2 linked regions of the Oreochromis niloticus genome follow. The protein of the gene in region 2 interacts with the protein of the main gene of each other region in a pairwise test. Links are inferred from orthologs where the notes say so. Each region holds a gene or a part of one and is shown on either strand. Other genes may lie near its edges.

What was found.
Region 1: the proteins of nudt3b (region 2) and rplp1 interact in a two-hybrid assay, tested with the Homo sapiens proteins (2 studies listed by BioGRID and IntAct). The link is inferred for Oreochromis niloticus from reciprocal best matches to the Homo sapiens genes NUDT3 and RPLP1.

Annotation. Positions count from the first base shown.
Region 1 is NC_031985.2:18,528,083-18,535,515, reverse strand, and holds rplp1 (large ribosomal subunit protein P1), read left to right. Parts: upstream 1-4,749; 5' UTR 4,750-4,897; coding exon 4,898-4,969; intron 4,970-5,807; coding exon 5,808-5,882; intron 5,883-6,396; coding exon 6,397-6,511; intron 6,512-6,716; coding exon 6,717-6,799; 3' UTR 6,800-6,845; downstream 6,846-7,433. Other genes in the region: lipid scramblase CLPTM1L, read left to right, coding at 1-96, 183-261. UniProt on the Homo sapiens protein: Plays an important role in the elongation step of protein synthesis.
Region 2 is NC_031970.2:9,791,219-9,798,504, forward strand, and holds the start of nudt3b (diphosphoinositol polyphosphate phosphohydrolase 1), read left to right. Parts: upstream 1-4,262; 5' UTR 4,263-4,545; coding exon 4,546-4,644; intron 4,645-5,870; coding exon 5,871-5,981; intron 5,982-7,286. UniProt on the Homo sapiens protein: Cleaves a beta-phosphate from the diphosphate groups in PP-InsP5 (diphosphoinositol pentakisphosphate) and [PP]2-InsP4 (bisdiphosphoinositol tetrakisphosphate), suggesting that it may play a role in signal transduction.

The DNA of each region.
Region 1 (7,433 bases), on a different chromosome or scaffold from region 2:
TGACGTGTTTGCCTTCATCATCACCATGCCAACGTCTCACAGACTGGCCTGTTTCAGAGATGATGTGGTGTTTCTCATCTACCTTTACCAGAGATGGTATATACACACGACATTACACGTAGCACATTTGTTAAAAACATGCACATTTTTTCAGAGTTAAAACTCTCCGTTTCCTTCACCAGGCTCTACCCAGTGGACAAAACAAGAGTAAATGAATATGGAGTGTCGTACGATGAAAACCCCAAAGAGAAGAGTCACTAGACTCGGAGGAATTTGCTTTCATGATCTGGAATCTGTGGGTATTTGTCTTATTTCCACTGGTGTCCACTCATCTTTATCAACTGGACTGAGTTTAATGGTCAGGGGGAAATGTTTGTTGTATATGTTCCAGGTGCATAAATGTGCTCACGGTTCTGACTTTTTCCACCCTGTTAAAAGAGCAACATCATCTTCTGCTTCGTCTGACAGTCTGACGAAGCCTTCTTGTTTTGTTTTTTTTTTGGGGGGGGGGGGGGGGGGGGGATTTTTTTTTTTTTTTACAGTGTGTGTGATGGGACACAGTGACGAGCTACATCTCTGGCCCTTTCAGACTGACATAACAGCCTGCAAATATACACTTACAATGTAATTGGTGTGAACTGCTTGCAATCGTTTTTTTTATTTTTCATGTTTTTTCCAGAGATTTAAATGCACAAAGGAATCTTTATAATTCTTAACAATGCTACGCTCGTGTTTTGAAAAAGTTGATTCAGCCTGCTCTGACAGCTGGCAGATGTAGTTTATCTACGAGCTGCAGAGAAAGAGCTGCTTTGCTCATCTGAGAGCTTTATTCACTAAGAAGACCTTATCCAGTGGCTTGTTGTATACCTACCAGATAAGACAGCCTTCAAGTAAAATCAAGATAGCTGTGTGACGGCAGGGATACAAAGACTGTGCTGTGACAAAAAAGGGGGGAGTGTGGCAAAGGTGAAGCATTCTAACTGATGTTTCAGGCAGCTCAATAATATTGTTCCAGACAGTCTCAGAAAAATCAGGCTGTAGTCATAATTGCAGCTTTTGTGCTTAAGTGGCCACTATTTCTAAATTGGTAGCTGGTGTTTATGGTAATTGGAATAAAATATGAAAGCTGCAATAAGCAAAGGTAAGCCATACAGAAACTAAAAAGGATGTATTGTTAGCTCTTTTGAATATGTAAATTATCAGAAATTATGTTCATTCTTTTTAAGCATTTCTCAATAACTTGGCAATCTGGCTCTTAAAAAAAAAAAAAATTGTACAAAATTATATCCAAAATGATCACGTGCATACAGTTGACATTTGTTAGTTCTGTGACAAAGAACGGTCATGTTTAACGCTACAGTCACACTAGGGAAAACAGTAGTTGGAGGCCACGGCACGACCAAAACCATTCTGCCTGTGTGCTATAAACTTGTAAGTCAAAGTGACTTTAGTGCAAGACGGCGATGAAATGGCAGTAAGGACAATAAGTCAGTCTGCTATCAGTTTGCAACTGAATAGGATCCAGTTGGCAATTACATGCAATCTGCTTGTGAGGAGATGTGGGCAAAAACTACAAATCTGTTGACATGTGTTATAAATCTGTTGCTGTCTACACAAACACAAATTCACATTAAACCCTAGCCGAGTCCGGCAAGTGTTTCCATAGATTTAAAATAGGAATTCCTCCACGAATAGTGATGTAGTTGATGTAAAGTATTTACATTTTTGTTGTCTTTTTTTTCCTCCTAGTTACAAGGAAGTCACTGTCCTGCTTTTGCTCTAGTGTGACTGAGTTGTAAAGAGAACCTGTTATGCTCGTTTTTTATTACGCACTCTGTTATGATGTAAATGTTCATAATAAGAGATAATTAGACAAACACATTTGAATGTAATCTCTAAATGGGAGAAACGAAACACCAAAAGCAAAACAAAACGGTTTACAGTACTTTGTTCTACTTCCTTATTAATATGATGATATCAGCTTATCAAGGAGATATGCAGACCTATATACATAAATTGACGGTGATTAAGTTTGCTTCCAGTAGCTTACTTTTGCTTCCGCAAAGCAAACAAAGTTGCCAAAAAAATAAAAAAATAAAATAAAACGGTATGCATGACAGAGAGGCCAGCCTTAAAGAGAGAGCAGCTTAAATAGCTTATTTCGCACAATGTAAAATTTCATATCGACATAATGAGTATGCTTTTAAAGTGAGAATAAACTGTAACATTTGGGGGCAAAATCAAAGAAAATGGGATTTAAAACGTAAACGTTTAGAAATCCAAATTTGAAAAGTGATGCACTTGAATGCATCACTTTTCAGTTCTGCTAAGAAGCACGGATTGTTACACAATTCTGTTTATTTGCCAGTAGATGGCAGGAGAATTTCACTAGAGGCAGAGGAGAAAGTTGTGATCTGTTGCCATGGAGAGAAGATTAATTGCCCGAGACATTCCAGAATCTTAAGCTTGAAAGTTCCAGAATCTGTGAAGTTGCATTCTGTCTGTTTTGTGTCTCTATAAAATGGTACTGACAGTTTCATTGTACCACACTCTGTATCACTGACAGTCCTACTGTCTTTTCCATCCATTTTTTTTCTTCTTCCTTTTTTTTTCTTCTTTTTTTTACATAACTGGGCCAAGAAAATCTGCTAGTGCCAAATGTGAGAATGAATAATGTTACCATTGTACGTTCACAATAGATGGTACATCGGATCTTTTGAATAAACACTGACATTGTGAGAGAGATGATGACGGAAATGTTTAAACAAAGTATTATTACACTGGGTTTATGCAGTCAAAATTTGATTTATTTGCCATAGTTTGGGGGTTTTTTAAGACTTTAATTGAAATAATGTACTTAATTTTCAGATATCATGATATATTAGGTCTGTATACAAAGGTTCTGCACAGGATTTATGTTCCTTAATAATAGAGTTGGCAGAGATTTGCCTTTAAATTGTTTTAGTTATTGTAATGTTTGTGTTTTTGATTGAGATGAAATTAAAAAATAACTGACAAAATGTTACGTGTATTTGGCATGTTACTATTGCTGGGGTCAACTGTTCAGTGGAAATCTTAGAAATGTTGCTCAGAGATAACCTGAGTAATGCAGAGATGATTTCATTTGTTAAGGGAAAAAGCTAGCGAAACCTACATGGCGCGATGTGAAAAAGTAATTCCCCACACACACACACACACACACACACACACACACACACACACACACACACACACACACACACACACACACACACACTTGTTAAATCGTGCAATGACTTTGGTTAGATAACCGAGGCCTAATTACTACCAGATCTGTTGGATCAAGAAATGACTTGAACAGAATCTGTCTGACAGTGACGTAGGCATTAAATCATGTCACGATCTAAAGAAACTCAAGAACAGCAGAGAACAAAAGTTGGACATCAGTCTTACTAAGCCATTTCTAAAGCTTTGGGACTCCAGTGTACCACACTGAGAGCTTTTATCCACAAATGGAGGAAACTTGGAACAGTGGTGAACCCTCCCAGCAGTGGCCGTCCTACCAAAATGACTTAAAGATCACATCCAGAGAGAAAAAAAACCTAATGAACTGCTGGCCTCACTTGCACAATTAAGGTCAGAGTTCATAATTCAACAGTAACAAAAGAGACTTGGCAAAAATGGCATCCATGAGGGGGTTCCAAGGTACAAACCACTGTTGATGAAAAAAGAACAGAGTATCATTCACATTTGGCAAAAAAACATCTTGATGATTCTAAGATCTTGGGGAAAATATTCTGTAGACTGATATGAGAAGTCTTTGTGGAAGCTTTCAGAACCACTACACCTGTCATAAAACTAACACAGCTTTTCTGAAAAATGGCATACCAGTCGTGAAACATGTTAGTGGTAGTATGATGATCTGGGGCTGCTTTGTTGCTTCAGGACCAGGACAACTTGCTGTAATTGATGCAAAATGTCCAGCCATTGATTCATGGCCTAAAGCTCACTCACACACACACACACACACCAAGATGATTATCCAAAACACAACAGCAAGTTCACTTCTGAAAAAACAAGCAGTCTAGTCAAACGTCCAGACATAAATACAACAAGGGGGATGCTTTGGCATGACCTTAAACAGGCCATTCATGCTTGAAAAACATGTCATATTCAAAACTAGGGTGGCACTGGGGGATGACAGGAGATTATTTTAGAGTGGCACATGCCACCCCATGCCCCCCCCCCCCCGTGGATCTCCCCCTGCTTAAATCAGTCATATGACTTGGATGTGCCATCGACCCCAGAGGTTTAATAACACTCACCTTCATTCCAGACTCTCACAATCAACCACCTGTGATGAAATCTGAAATACCCATGGTGTTGATTCAACATGTGCTCTGGCACAACTATAGGGTGGCACTAGAGGTTGCAGGAGATTATTTTAGGGTGGCACATGCCACCCCATGCCACCCATGATCTAACAATCCCAGATCATGGGTGGCATTGAATATTTGTCACCCATGCATGTGACAAATATTCCAAAAACTAAATCACTCACACACTGATGTTTCATCTTATGTAGACTGGTAGGAATATACCAGGACTAGATACAAGATATTTTTTGAACTGTTTTATGTATAATATTTACCAGCGATGTATTACCATTCTAAAAAGAAAATAAACTCCTCTGAGCATAAAGCTATCGTACGTTTTGTGCGTCGTGACGTCAGAACCACGCTCCCTGACGCAGAGTATATCTACTAAACTCCCGCCTTCGTCCCTCCCTTTTCTGCTATAGAAATTTAACGTGCCTGAGGTGTTTGGTTCTTCACGAGAAGCTAAGGCCCGCAATCCGGCGACTAGCACCGTCAATTTTAGGCATCTGACCCTACGAACATTAAATCTAACATCTACAATGGCCTCCGTATCCGAGCTCGCCTGTATTTACTCCGCTCTGATCCTCCACGACGATGAAGTTACCGTCACCGTAAGTGTACTAGGTCCTAGGTTACCCCGGATATTTCAGCCAATATGTCTGAGTTGGGCGTTCTTGAACATTTTTTTGTTGGGCTAAAAAGCCTAAAATACTAAAAACGTGACATTAAAAGCTACAGATAGATAAACCAGTATGTTAATATATCAGGTAAACGCCAGTTATGTCCGTGTACCGGCTAAAATGGCGTCATGCTAGTTGCTATTCCTAGGCCACGTTTTTCTAGCTGGACAGCTCAGTCTTGTGTTCTTACTCTGAATGCTGATGTTTGACCTGTACAGCACGTGTGTGTTTGTTTTAACCGTCAGTGTAGCCTTAAACATCTCTGCTGACAGGTCTGGATGTGGTGTTCACTGACAGACTGTGTGGTCAGACTCAACAAGAGCACAACATACCTTTATTTTTTTTAGTGTTGGCATCACCGATCAAAGTTGTTTTTGTTAGAGCTTGTTGCATTGAAACACCTAAAGGATAGCAAACCTGATTCGGCATCCCTTCTTGTTACTTGCCACTTGTTATACTTACTGTTAGTCTGTTAACTGGTAATCCATGTTGAAGTGTTGCGTGGTGTCCTCAAATATATTTAGTTCCCTAAGATTTTGATTATTTCACGCACATTGTCTTTACCTGAGAAAGTGGAATGAGGACATGTGTCACAGATAATTTTTAATTATATTTTTTCTCACTGAAAGTGTTTGCTTCAACACATTGTAGACCATCAGTTTCCGTGTCATCGCTCATATTTTAGCAAAAAGTGTTCCCAAAAGTGGTCAGTATGTGAAGTAGAGTTAAATAACGGTGGCTGTTATGTTATTTATTTGTTTGTCCACAGGAGGACAAGCTGAATGCCCTGATCAAGGCTGCTGGAGTCACTGTGGAGCCTTTCTGGCCAAGTCTGTTCGCCAAGGTGAGAGAACACACTTCTGAAATCATATCACCGAATAGATCTGAAGATCTGACAGTTTTTATGTATCCCAATAACTCTTATAAACAATACAAATGTAAGTGGCTGTAAAGGAGACTTACTGATTGTGTGTGCTGTAGTGAAACAGACCTGTTCATTGCTTTCTGTGTGATTTAATGGTCTGTATTTACATTCAAATTTCTTTTTAAAAAAGTTATGTCAGGCTGAAAGCATTAATATTGTTCCTGTTGTTGCCAGTATGAGCAAACACATGAATTTGGAATAAATGTCTTGATGCAACAGTGCTGCCACTTAGAGAAAGTGGAATGAATGAGCAGGACACAAATTACTAAAATTTAAAAAAAAGAAAAAACATACTACACTTGCTGTAAAGAGTCTTTAGGCATGGTAGGTAGGAGTTATGCTTGATGTCTTGCCTTTTTAAATACATCGATCTCTGTAACACCCGCTGGACATGTGAATAAAGTGACGTAACCTGTGAATTTTCTTTGCGTAGGCTCTGTCCAGCATCGACATCGGCAGTCTGATCTGCAATGTTGGAGCCGGCGGTGGAGCCCCCGCTGGAGTCGCTGCTGCTGCTGGTGGTACTACCGCTGCTGGTGACGCCCCAGGTAACTAAACAAAGCATTTCCCAGCGCTACATTTGTAGTTACATAACAGTAATATGAATGCATTCTCGGGCTATACCACTTTAGTTTCTCCTTCAAGTTCAGATTTCATGTACCTCAGAAATCAAATTGACTTTTTTCTTTTCTTCTGAATTTAGTTTGTGTAGTCATCTTTGACTTATAACTACGTCTTGTTTTCCCTCTACAGCCAAGGAGGAGGAGAAGAAGGAGGAGAAGAAGGAAGAGTCCGAGGAGTCAGACGACGACATGGGCTTTGGTCTCTTTGACTAAAACAGCTGTTTTTTATATAAAAACACAATAAAAGTATAAAAAATGACTCGTCTTTTGTTTTTGTTTGTTTTTTATGTACAGTAATTCTGCACTTACAATTTAAATCTGCATCATTTGTCAGCACATTAACCTAAATTGACATTTTAGGCAGTAGATTTGTAGTGACTTCACTTCCCTGGACATGAGAGAAATTATATTTTAGCACATTCAGCTTAGGCGTTGAACCTAATGCCATGGCAAGCTGTGTGCTGATAATTCACAAAAAACTGCAACTACCGAACTCTTGTTCAGAGTTTGGTAAAAGCTGAATACAATGATCATCCAAATTATACTCAAGATTCGACTTTTCTCAATTACTTTCAATTCTCATTTTGAAAGTAGACACTCATTTGAAAGTACAGCCATGTGATAAAATATGTTTCTGCATAGTGCGATGATCTGGAGTAAACTTTTAGGACATGGGCAGCAGCTTGTCTTGAAAATACAGTTTGATAACTTGGGTTAATGTAGATTTATTACTGATCAATGGTCACCTTAAGTCAGAACTTTAGACTGTGGAGATGGCTTTTAATACAATTTAGAAGATGATGTCAATACCCTGAATAAACAATGACCTCTATGCTTTTTTTCAGAT
Region 2 (7,286 bases):
ATAAAGCTAACAGTATCTAATTTAGGTTAGCTAATGTGTTCTGTAGTTTGTTTTTCTTTTTTAATATAGTGTGCTTTAATATGCCTTAACTCTGATTAGTTTTCATCATTTTCAAATCATAATTAATATCCATGATTTGGAGTTCATCACTTGTTAGGTTTTGATTTTCAATATCTGTCACTTTTAATTTAAGCACACATATGCTACCAGTGACACAACGTAGAAGATAAACATCAAAGTCATGTTTCCTTTCATGAAAATTCAAACAAAAAAAAAAAGATATATATTTCAAAATGGAAAAAGGGGGGAAAGGAACATAGTAAGAATTCCTCCTTAAAATACGCATGGATCAGATCATATGGTCTAGGAATAAGAGGTCCCTTATGAACGATTTTTAAAAAAATTAATTAATTAATTTAAAAAGAAATGCTGCAGTACTGCAAGAGGTGAGCGCCCTCTTCTGGACAGGGCAGAAACTGTAACACCGCCCCTATGTGTGAATGGTTCATCAGAGACTTCCAAAGAGAATTGGTTGCCGTAGCAACAGCAGATCGTAATAGTGCAGCCTCTTGAGTGTGACCCTACACAGATATGTTTAATTGTGTAAGACCTGCTTTCCTCATCCTGAAGAGAGAGAGAGAGGCAGCATAGAAACTATATATTTCATTCTGTGCAAACAACTGTGACCCTGATGAATTTCAAATGTCTTTGCAACATGTGTTGTTTATTTTCTGTTGGGTTCATAAATCTTATGGATTCCTTGGAAGTTGGCAGGTGCTTGGAGAAAGTGAAATCAACATAGCTGAAACCCGAAACTTGATTCACTGAGAAAAATCATCAATTGAAACCATCAAAACTTCACCTGTCGCTTGGTGTCATACATTTTCTGGGTTGTTAAAGTTGATAAAGAAATAAAGAGATTAGTCAGTCTTGCAGACAAGTCTGATATAATATAGATTTTTGTAGAGAAAAAAAATCTACAACAAACAAAAAATTCTGTGGCCCCACACGTCTGTGTGTTTTCCTTGCACACTGAAAATCATCTGCTAGTAGTCAACAATAATGCTGTGGTGATGCTGAATGTGCATAATTACAGTATCATGAAGCCTTTTCTCAACAACTGAGAATGTGTTGACCCAACTCCTGCTCCTAGAAAACACTTTTTTTAATTGTTATTTTATTTTAATTACATTTATATGTTAATGTCGCATAATTTACATTAGCCCGGGGAAACACATCTAATTACATTTTTCTTTCCTGCATCTAGTAATGTATTTTAATAGCTACACACAGGAGGTGGTGGACACAATATTATGAACACCTACTGTGCCGTACAATTAGTTTCACTTTAAGGGGACTCAAGCTTTTCACTTTTTTCCCCAATAATTAATCGGGGATGTGTTTAAATAAAAATATGATACAAGTAGGACCAAATATAGGTGGCATGGTGGTCTGATGGCTAGCACTGTCACCCACACAGCAATTAGGTTCTGGTTTGAATCCAGGTTTGGGCCTTTGTCTGTGAAGTTTGCATCTTCTTCCGGTGTTTGCATGAGCTCCCATAGTCCAAAGACATATTTCGGGTTAGGAGATTCTAAATTGGCTATAGATGTAAAGGGTTAGGGTTGTGAAGATGAACTGTCTGTCTCTGTGTGTTAGTCCTGCAACAGACTGGCAATTTGTGCAGGGTCTCTCAGCCTATGAGGGTTTAATAAATGCTCCAGCCCTGTGGCAACCCTTAATTTGATAAGTGGAAGAAATGGACGAATGGGTCCAAAATACAAGCAACCTGTCACTTAGTTATAGTCTCCTCCTCACAGCCTAATGTATTTCCATGTTTAAACCTTTTAAAAGGCGTCCTTGCTCAGTGTTACATATTTTCAAATAATTACCGTAGATGTATAAAAATGTAAGCGATAAGCCTGAGTTATTCTTATTTTATAGAGATTCAATACCATAATTTCATATTAGTTTTTGATTAGCTTTGTTTGTGTTTGTTTCTCTCCTTGATTATGTCATCGAAGCAAGACTTGCCCTTTAATGAAGAGCAATCTGAGATGTGCTGAGAAGAAGGTAAGAGCCACTTCAAATGTCAACATCTGTGGGTAGAAAACTGAGAAGTAAGTGAATCGAATAAGGAGAAATTGCGTTGCTTTGATTACTGGTAGGAAATTGAGTTATTGCAGCTATGACAAAAGCAATGAAATGAGAACTTGAACAATCAATAGAAAAGACTTGAATAAGAGCTTTTTGTAAGAAATCAGCATGCTGAGGATTTGTGTGAGTTTGGTGGAAATCATGATGTGCCAGTCAGCTTAAAATAACTTCAATATTTGCCCCTTTTTTTCTTTTCTGGTTTGGTTTATTGTTTGTATTTGCAGACCTGACTAATTTAATAATAATAATAATAATAATAATGTATACTTTATTGATCCCCGTGGGGAAATTACTCTCTCTGCATTTAACCCATTCACTCAGTGAAGCAGTGGGCAGCCACTAATGGGGCGCCCGGGAAGCAGTGTGTAGGGACGGTAACTTGCTCAGGGGTACCTCAGGGTAGCTGTCCAGTGGGGGGGCGGCCATGCTACCTACTGAGCTATCCCTGCCCCAATTTTTCACACAGAAAACATTTCAACTGACACTAAAGAGTTTTCATTCATGTCCGCTTAACTGCTCTTTATTATTCCATGAACTTTGAACTGTTTGAACTGTTTTTTGTGGGGGGTTTTGTGGTGGTGGTTTCTTGTTTTTTCTTTACACACATCATTAAAATACTGTAAATGAACTTGTTTGCTTGTATGACAGCTGAGATTCATGTCCGTGTTTTTTGGGTTTGTGTGTGAAATTGAGACATTCAACAATAAAGCATTTTTGTTTTATTGTTTGCTGTGGCCCACTCCTTCACACTGCAGTTACATCAGATTCATCCTCCGTTGTTAAGGACAGGGTTTTGTTGTGTGGTTGGTGAGTTTATGTAACAAATTCAATTTAAAATTCAATTTTGAGTTCCCACAATTAAGTCGCTGCAATAATGAGATTAAACTGATTATTTAGGGACCTGAACAGGTTTGTAAGACTGTGACTCACTGTTTATTCATTTATAATAATGCAAATGCAGAGCAAAGTGCTTTTTTTAGCAACATCGACAAGCCCAGACCATCCAATGCTGTTTAAAGCTCTGCTTTCCTAAATTCTTTTAGAATTTAGTTTACATGAAAGGTTCCAGTTTTGGTTCAATCAAATCTCATGTAAACAGTTAAAACAGATGTTAAACGAGACTGAAAAAGCTACATTTCTTTTCCAAATATTAGAAGACATCAATGAAATAGACTTCTGCATTGTTGGTAGACTTTGGCAAGCAAAAAAGAGAGATATTTATATGTCTTATCCAAGTTATAACAATGCAGAAAACCCTGATAAGATTCAGACTTTGGTCAACCTTTCCTGGAAAGCAAAGATAAAGATTCAGAAATGTCTTTGTGATCTAACTGAGGGCACAAGGGTGTTCTTTCTGATCGATACGCTATTTGCTTCTATGTTGATTTAGCATGCACTGTTAGAGCCACAGCCTGCTCTGCAGATATGGGGCATTAGATAGTACTAGATGAAGAATAAAAGAAGATTAGTGGAGCACTTTCAAATGTATTTTTTTAACCTGTATAAAAAAGTCTAGAGAGACCCAAAGCCATTACAGTGTGTAATTATAGTTTATAATTATTATTGGAAAATGTGTTTTCACAAGCATCTGAGCAATTAAATACTAAAACTCCCATGTAGAGATAACAAGGTTGAAAATCAACATGATAGTAGACTATCCACCTTAATTAAAAGATATTTTTATTATAGGTCAATCCAGTTTTACTCTTTATAATTGATTAACCATTTCTATTATTTAGGTATTTTTGCAGCTATTTTCCATTTGAAGTACATTAGGATTTGACAAAAATACATTTGATGCCTTACTTGAATTTTGTGTTTGCCTAAAAACCGCTTTTCTCACATTATATGCTTACATTGTCGGATCTATTTTGAGGGCCATTCCTGCGCTGTCCATTACCTGCGGTGCTGAAACTGATGAATTAACCTGGTGTGTCTTTTTCTAATGTGAGCAGCAAACTAATTTGATTACGCTAAATACGATGTTTCCCCAAATAAAAAGTCATATAAATTAATATCGGCATCAGATAAGCAGACCGGGCCATCTAGTTGGAGCCTAACGTGCCAGTTCCCTTTACCGGCTCACTCCAGTCAGAGCGTGGTGCTGCGTTTCCCCCCACGCTTCGTTGCCCTAATTCTTCAACCCCTGATAGGTAAATTTCTTACGCTCGCCAAGCTATTAATGGTTAAACTACGTCGTGGGCGTAGCGGCTCCTTGTAATGGCGACCGTGCCGTAGATGTTCCCAGGTTTGTGAAAATGAAGCGAAGAAGAAGTTATTTCTTTTAAGTAAAACGCCGAGGTTCCCCGCAGGAGGACTTTGCGTCTACAACCATCGTCTTTATAAGTGGCAAACATAGCTGTACTTTTGAACTTTTACGCTCCCGAAATGATGAAGCTCAAGTCAAACCAAACCCGGACGTACGACGGGGATGGCTACAAGAAGCGGGCCGCTTGCCTGTGCTTCAGGAGCGAGAGCGAGGAGGAGGTGAGTTCGGTGATGTGAACTGTCTGGCGGGCCAAGCTAATATTAGCATCCGTAGGTTTTATCCAGCCTTTTCTGTTGTATGTAGATCGACACGTTTATCAACACGGCTTTGGTTTTATCCCAGCTGGAAAAGGATTTCTTTTATTCTCGTGTCGACTCCCGACGTTATGATTATTCACTATTTTTCAGCTGGTACTTACCCGAGTGTTATGTAAGCCTCTTTAGCAGTGCAGATAGCAGCCTCGGTTATGATCAGACTTACTAGCTCCGCGCTAATGCTAACGTTAGCTTGCTAACTACCCGGGTTGCTGCCGTGGGCAGCCGGCTATCGGCCAGGAACCACAGCCCACAGTACAGGCTGTGGTGAGTGCTGACTCTATTACTACCAGCTGTCGGATGGACAGAGAATATTTAGTATTTAAAGCGACAGCTAAGATATGTATCTGCTCGCGTTACAGATAGTTTGGCGAGCTAAGTGTATTGTGTTAATGCAACTAGCCAAACATTGTACTGCTATGTAGCTAGTAGCTATCCTAGTTTAAGCCAGAAGATGACTCTGGCAGTGATAGCCGGCTTGCTTGTATCACTTGTGTATTTTGATTAGTTTGTTTGCGAAATTGACACTGTTGATATTTGGAGCACCAGCTTAATGGGAGCGTCGAGCCCCGTGTGCACATTTTACAACATCGCTTATTAATGTTGCTATTTGTGTATTTATCGCTCCTATCTAGCCGTATCAGAAAAAGCGAAAACGTGTTGTGGATTACTTGAGCTCAGTCACGATTTAGGACGCTCACGTACAGTCAAAAGGAGACACAAAGATGCCTTTGTACTTAAAACATTTTACTAGGGGAGGAGATGGGACCAAACCAATTCCCCATTTTGCTTAAAGTAAAGGCCAGACTGTGTAGACACGGGTTGTTGATTACAGGAAACGTATCAGCATTACCAGCACCAAAGTGGAAACTTTTACCTAAGACTGTAGTTTATCTGACTGACACCTAGGCGTTCCACAGTTCATCTCCACTAAGAACCCAACATCTAAACTAGTTCACTAGCTATGATTTATTGACAGTAATAAAAGTACTAGTTATTTTAAACCCAATGGGTTATCATTTCCATTTTTCTTGAAGTTGTATTTTTCGATGTCCCAGTTGATATTATGTGAACAGTAACTCAGAGTTGGACTGTCATACCTGACCAGTATTATATGGGGTGTTTTGCAGGTGCTACTGGTGAGCAGTAGTCGACATCCTGACAAGTGGATAGTTCCTGGAGGGGGAATGGAGCCCGAAGAGGAGCCCAATGTTGCAGCAGCTCGAGAAGTGTGTGAAGAGGTCAGTTGTGTCACTCAATATTGTTATATCTTATTTAAGCCTGTAGCATGATGGCCTTTTCTCTTTGGTTTTCCAAGTGACAGATGTTGTCTCTATGTACACTGCGTACTGGGAACCTTAACATGATCTTTTTCAGAAATGTCAGTAGCTGGAAATATAATTCTCAGAAAGTGTGGCAAATTTGTTTGACTATAGACTCATAAGATGTATTGTATTACAATTCTGTTAACTCGTGTCTGTATTTAACACTGAGCCTGATACCTTGTTCTCAAAATCCATTTTGTCAATGTAGTCATCCTGTTTGCATGGACTGTAAGAGAGAGAGAGCCTAGCAACATGTAAGCTGTATCATAGCATCATGTTACAAAGCAGTCTTTAGGTGTCAAAGGAGGTCACACAGAGATTGAACACTGGCTGCACAGTAGTTTGACTGCAGTACAGTCAAGTCACACAAACGCAGAAAATGACAACAATTGAGTTTTATTGTTTGTACGTTTTCTCGTAGCTATATATATTAGTATACAGTAGTGGTCACATTACAAGGGCAGCTTGGAGGACACAACATGTTGTTTTTGTTGTTCTGTATTGGGGTGGATGGGTAGTAATTAGTAAACGGTTCTGAAGCTAATTGGAAATCAATATTCTACTTATACTGCTTACGCCTGTTTGTTAAATCAGGTATTCTTCCACTCTGCATGCTGTTCATCCTTTGGATATTTTGATCAGAACGGACACAGGGCACATAAGACACTGAATCTCACCCGGCAGTTGGCTCCTAGTGGGCCGCTGACCTTATAAAGCCTATCCTCTCTGTGTGATCCATCACACTGATGGATGCTGATATCATCCCTTATCCTGGCTCCTGCTGATTGGTAGCTTTGGTGGTTGCAGGACACTGAGGCCTGCCAGCAAATTTCCACAGGGTCAAAAGCAATGTCACATCACTGCTCAGGCTCCTTATGTGCTAAAAGGCAACATTCAGAAACTTTGTGCTGCTTGACACATCACCAACTACATTGGCTTTCTAAGCCTCTTATTGGACGATGGTGTAACAGGACATATCCTAATCCTGGTGAGCCTGTTCTGATTACCATATGAGTGATTGCTTATGCTTATTGGTTTGGAGTCTCTCCAGGGATGAGAGTGAAGACAAGGCATGCAGTAGCAAGCCAAAATTTACAGAGGGTTTCTTTGTTAGACTGTTCACTATCTTTGCTTATCCTTGTATTATGGAGATGCACCCTGACCCTGCAACCTGAAGACGCATTGCATAACTGGTAACGAAGTCTCAGCTGTACATCCTCT